2 separate regions of the Mus musculus genome follow, and region 1 is reported to be linked to region 2. Evidence: microRNA targets listed by miRTarBase, many of them from high-throughput screens and not tested one by one. Region 2 holds a microRNA gene; the other region holds the end of a gene's coding sequence.

The links. Region 2 holds the annotated microRNA mmu-miR-3470a (UCACUUUGUAGACCAGGCUGG, at 1,931-1,951, opposite strand). A microRNA usually pairs through its seed, bases 2 to 8, with sites in the 3' UTR of a target mRNA and lowers its output. Matches are read on the target gene's strand: a 7mer-m8 pairs with bases 2 to 8, a 7mer-A1 pairs with bases 2 to 7 and ends in A, and an 8mer does both.
Region 1: the mRNA of Lrrc14b is a reported target of mmu-miR-3470a. Seed matches in the 3' UTR shown: 8mer at 2,041-2,048.

The regions. Positions count from the first base shown.
Region 1 is chr13:74,358,223-74,361,222 of GRCm38, forward strand. Lrrc14b (leucine rich repeat containing 14B) reads right to left here. Exons shown (of 2, transcript NM_001033042.3): 2 at 1,360-3,000. The coding sequence ends at 2,532. It overlaps Ccdc127 (coiled-coil domain containing 127), which reads left to right. Exons shown (of 3, transcript NM_001168659.1): 3 at 1-1,446. Among named protein-coding and RNA genes, the nearest start is that of Lrrc14b, 4.3 kb to the right of the region's middle.
Region 2 is chr6:83,088,430-83,091,578 of GRCm38, forward strand. It overlaps Mir3470a (microRNA 3470a), which reads right to left and starts at 1,958; the gene lies at 1,882-1,958.

The DNA.
Region 1 (3,000 bases), not on the chromosome of region 2:
ATGTAGAAGAATCTAGAGGGAGCCAGATGGAGCCACCAGGGGTTACACTGTGGAATCCCAGGGAGCATTGTTTAGTTTAGGGGTATAACTAGAAACACAACAAATTCCCAGGAAAGCTCACTGGAGACTATCAAGATTTTGATAGAGTGAGATCTATTCATGTGACCTTTCACAGCAGTTCCATTCCCACAGGAAGGCAAGTGGTAGAAGTCACTCATAGTCTGTAAGCAGTTTAGGTATGGTGAATCACTCTTGCTAGTTACCAGCACTGGGAACTCCCAGCATCTAGACACCTATTAGGGACTAGCCTTGTGTGAGGATGCACTATGAAGTCTGTTAAGTGAGCTTTCCCACATAGCCTTATTTTACAGAGGATGGGGATAGAGAGCCTTAATATGGAGAAAGCAATCTGTCTAGGTCATAGGTAGTATTTTGTGGAGTGGATCTGAGTTGGGTGTTTGATTTACAGACATTGGAACCTGTGTGTGGTTATTTGTCAGTAGCCATGCAGGAAGTGAACAAAGTAGTCAGTTTGTGTTCAGATCCTATATTCTACCCTGTGCATATCTTTCTGTGTAGAGAGATGGCAAACTTGAAAATACTTACCCAGAAAACAGTTCAGTTATAGAATGGTTAAGGAGCACTTGGCCCGCTTCCTATTCCACATTTAGTTTTCAGAACTACCTTGACAGAGCTGATAGCAGGCACTCTGAGCAGAAGCCAGGTAATTCCACCTTCAGATAAAGCTCTTGTCCGTAGCTATTTACCATGTCTTTCTGCTGTATTACCAGTCTTTTGAGAAGTTATTTTTTTCTAGTACATCTAAGAAACAGTTTTTTAAGATTGTGTTTCCTAATTCATTAGACCATTGAAGGAAGCCACATAGGCTCTAGTTTTCTGTTACTCCACTGGTTTGCCCATGTGATCTTGGACAGACCACCTCATGGCTTTCTCTAAGATTTATCTTTTAAAATGACACATTTTCCAGGGGAATCACATCACTGTTTGAGTCTGTGGCATGCCCGCCTTCCATCCTAAGTATGCTTTCTGTCTTTTTCAACTGAAAATGTTAGTAGCATATTTTATTGCTGTTCGGGGTCAAGTGGAAGTAGACAGACCTTGGGGGTAGAGACAGCACAGGAGGATCTGGAATGGTTTACCTGTGAGAGGAGGTCCTGAAATGGGGAGGTACCTGAGAAGGGTCACATGGAGAAGGACTACAAGTGGGAGTCAAGTCCCTTGGTTGGCACACGGATGGTTATAGAGCTAAGTTTTTTACTTCAGTCACAAAAGAATTATTTTCACACTCTTAAGTTTTAAAGTTTAGATTATTACGTAAATAAACTGTACATGAGTTTAGCCACACTCCTATTTTATTAGCATTTCATTACAGTAGTACTTTGGCAAAGCAAATACTGGAAATAAAGTCTAAACGAGTCTTTCTTACGTGATGATTTGTTTCTCAAAGGAGTTGCAAAGGGCCAGGCCTCAGCCATTCTGAGGAGGAGCAGTGATTCGTGTGCCTTATAGATATGTTAACATTTACAAAGCTCATTCTTGAAAACTGAGTCACGAGTTTCAAAAAAATCATCTCAGTGTCTTCAGTAAGTTTCCAACTTTGTAATGCGCTACGTTCATAGCTATCCTCTGTCACATGTGACTGCATAGACTGTTCAGGTTAGACATGCCTGTCTTACAGTCTGAACTCTAAGCAGAAAGCAGATCAGAGTATGCCAAGAAACACTGGGCATATTTCAGTGACTAGATGTCCTCAGTCACCAAAAGACGATAAAAATCTGCTGCAGGTGGAAACAAAGCCCAAACAGCCACCGATAGAAAACTGATCATCACCCCATCCCCCACATTTCTGTGTAGCCGATGTCATCTGGTAAAATACACAGCAGATAGAACATAACTAAACTGCTAGCTCAGGGGTCTGGTTCATTTTTATTTTCAATGTCTTTTTTTTGTTTGTTTGTTTTTTGTTTTTGGTTTTCCTCAAGACAGGGTTTCTCTGTGTAGCCCTGGCTGTCCTAGAACTCACTTTGTAGACCAGGCTGGCCTCAAACTCAGAAATCCACCTGCCCCTGCCTCCCGAGTGCTGGGATTAAAGGCGTGCGCGACCACGTCCGGCTCAGTGTCTATTTTTTATGAGCTGCTGTTTCTATACATTTTGATATACATGTGGTGAATTTTCTCATTTCTTCCCCTCACAGCATCAGAGCTAAGTAGTTGACCCTGTTCCCACTACATCCTGCCCTGGTGACCACATTCTCCACCTTCTGTCTTGGTGTAAGGTGGCTTCTCCTCTGCTTTAAGATCTTGCTGTGCTAACACACAGGAGCACCTCATGTCTCATTTATGTATCTGGCTTCCTCTTAGAGCACGTAACGAGTACGCCTGCAGTTTTCTCTGAGGAAATCTTGTGGCAGTGTTGCTGCTGGTGACAAATGGTTGAGCCTGATCATCTGGTCCAGGACTGACCTCAGGGCACTAGAAATGCACAGCCTCTTACAGCACGATTCCAGGACCTACTCCATTTGTTCTAGTGCTCTGGAAAAGTTTTCCAAAGCAGTTTTGAAAGCTTGCAGCAAAAAAGTACCAAGTTCATTGCTGGTTTCATGAATGTCTGGATCAAAACTTCCAAAAAGTGGGGTGGAGACCTGGATGTCCTCCCGGTTAGCTCGAAGCAGTACTGCTCGAAGATCCTCTGCAATCACGTCGTATTTCTGTTGGTCGAATTTGGACACTGACAGTTCATCCTGAGGGTAGATGGCACCCTCGGGGTAGCAGTCCTTTGGTACTGGGAACTCAATATGGCGAAGCCTAGGGAGTTCGCAGAGTGCAGCAAAAAGGCGCCGGAGAGCACTGCCTGAGAGCGGGTTTCCAAGAAACTTGAACTGCTGGAGCTGGCTGCAAGGGCTAAGGCCCAGAATCATCATGTTAACATGGCTGTCTGTGATGTTGCACTCCTCGAGGGTGAGCACTCTCAGTGTTTGG
Region 2 (3,149 bases):
CAGAGACCTGGCTTGTCTTTCACCTCTGGAGACACTGGATGGAGAGGAAGTGGGTAGGATTCTAGTGGTGGCTTCCGGCCACTACCCCCTACTGGCTACCTTTGTTCCCAAGGCTTGCAGCCTTGGAGACCTCAGTACTAACCTTTAGGTTGGCCCCTATATGATAATGTGAGCCTTCTACTCTTAATTAAACTTTTACTAGGTTTCCTGCATTAAGAAAGCCATAGTAAGCTTAGTGTAGGTGCACACCTGTGATCCCAGCACTTAGAAGGTGGGGTGGGGGGCAGGAGAATCAAGAGTTCTAAGTCAGCCTATATCACAGCGCACTCGCGCTTACGCGCGCCCCCCACCCCCACACACCACACTAAACAAACAAACAAAACCTCTATGATGAGACACTGTGACACCCCAGAGTCTGGAAAGAGAGCACTATCCACTTCTACCTCTGCCCAGGTATGGGAACCTGGGGTGAGACTGAAGAGAGGAGGTCAAAGTAGCTGTGACTGTCACAAGAGCATCCTAACCTGGCCCCACTGATGACATCTCGGACCTTCAGCTTTGACCTCCCTTTTTGCTGGCCATTAATCACTATCCTCCTGCAAAGGCACTGACTGGGGAGGGACAGGGAGCACTGAGGGGCCAGAGGCCCACCCTGTCAGTTTTTAAGAGACCACCATGCAGCTAGAACCTCGGACAGCGAGTGGAGGGCCAAGGAGAGGAAACTCAGGGGAGAATAAGTGAGACTGAAAGGCGGGCGTGATTCTGGTGTCTTCACACAAGATCTGAGTGCTTTGTGTGAATTGATCAGTGGGACAGACCAACTGAATGGACTTTTAGTCTGGTGTCAAGACACTGCCCTTGTAGGTGGGAAAACACGGCTTCACCTTTTCTCACACACGCTTTTGTTTGCTTGCTTTGTTGCTTTTTTTTTTTTTTTGGAGTCAGGGTTTCTCTGTGTAACTTTGGCTGTCACACAACTCACTTTGTAGACCAGGGTGACTGGGAACTCAGAGATCTTCCTACCTCTACCTCCTGATAGGACTAAAGGTGTGGGCCAACATGCCCAGCACACTTTTATTCTTAGATTGGTTTATTTTCATTTTATGTATATGAGTGTTTTGAATATATATATATATATATATACATATACATATATATATATATATATAGAGAGAGAGAGAGAGAGAGAGAGAGTGCTTGGTTGCTTGGTACCTACATTTCCAGAAGAGGGTGTTGGATCACTTGGAACTGGTTTTTTGAGACAGGGTTTCTCTGTATAGTCCTGGCTGTCCTGGAACTCACTCTGTAGACCAGGCCGGTCTTTAACTCAGAAATCCGCCTGCCTCTGCCTCCCATGTACTGGGATTAAAGGCGTGTGCCACCACCGCCCGGCTGAGACAGCATCTTTTACTGAACCTATAGGTCACTGCTTCAATGGGCTGGCTGACCAGTGAGTCCCAGGATTCCAAATTTCTGCCTCTCCAGCAATAGGATGGCACTGCATTGAGCCAGGCTTCATATGCAGGTCCTTAGATGACTAACTGACTCCCTATCTCCTTAGCTGGTATTTTGATTTCATGGACAGCAGTGCCATTTCATAACGTAAAAAGGTTGTCCATGGAGCTGGAGATTTAGCTAAATGGACAGGGTTTAGTCCCCAGAACAGGGTAAGAAAACAAGCTGGACATAGCCGAAGGCTAAAATACCCCACAGTGAAAGGAGGCACTCTTGAGAGACCAGGAGGAGTTCTAGCAGGGCCCCTGAAGCACGCAGCTTGACCTTCCAACCACCACAAACCAAGAATGCTGGATGAACAGTTCTTAAGGAGTTACTAATGGAAGAATAATCCCTGAGCTACTGGGTGTGGTTACCATGCCTTTAATCCCAGCACTCAGGAGGCAGAGGCAGGCTGATCTCTGTGAATTTAAGGCCAGCCTGGTCTACAAAGTGAGTCCAGGACAGCCAGGGCTCTATTACACAAAGAAACCCTGTCTCAATAAAACCATAAACAAATAAATGCCCTCAAACTAAACTGCCACCTCTCCCCAGCCCATGCCCCCAACAGCTTCAGGACAAATCATTTTAGCTGAGGCAACGGAGTCTTGTTAGCTGGTACTGAGCCATCAACATCAACAGTGTTCCTTACTTTCTTGTCCAGCTGGTACCACCTCCCCTTACACTCCAGCCTTGGATAACAAACCAGCAACCAGAAGGAAGGTGTGATGGTGTGAGCCTGTCATCTGATTAATTAGGAATCTAAGAAAAATTATGAGTTCAAGGCCAGGCTGAACTATATATAACACATGCTGGATAAGGCTCAAGTTGTACCCTTTAGCTTGATGGATGCTCACCCTCCCTCATCCCAGCCCCTTCCCTGTCTGTTCTAGATACAACCCTCAGTTCTATATTACTCTGTTCCCAGCAACGGAGGAGAGGGGAGGGAGGCGGGGGAGAGAGCTAATTGTGACGTCCATCTCTGAGAGAGATGGTAGCCAGGGTATCAGCAGTGCAAGTGTGACCCTGTCTCAAAATACAAACTAAAACCAAGCCAAATAAATGGGCCTTGGCATGTAGCCCTGTTGGCAGAGAGCTTGGGTAAGTCAGACGTGGTGGTAGAGGCTTGACACTCAGGACTTACCATGTAGAAGCAGGAAAATCATAGTTTCTAGGTCTTCTTTGATTACATAGTGAGTTTAAACTATTCCAGGCTAAAGGAGACTTTGTCTCAAAACAAATAAACACACTAAGGTGGGCTCTGGATGGATGTCCACTCTGGTGACCCTAGAAAAAATGTGCAGTGTAGACCAGGAAGACAGTTCTGTGGGTAAGAGCAGCCTGTGTGAAAGCAACAGGATCTGAGTTCAAATCCCCAGCACTCATGTTAAGTTGAGTACGGCTGCACGCATCTGAAGCCCCAACTTCATGGGCTGAGGTAAGCAGATCCTGGAAGCTCACCGCTGAGCCACCCTAGCCAAGATGGCAAGATCTAGGGTCAATGTGAGACCCTGTCTCAAAAATAATAATAATAATAATAATAATAATAATAATAATAATAATAATAACATGATGAACTGGGCAGGGTGGTGCACACCTTTAATCCCAGCTCTTGGGAGGCAGAGGCAGACGGATCTTTTTGAGTGTGAGACCAA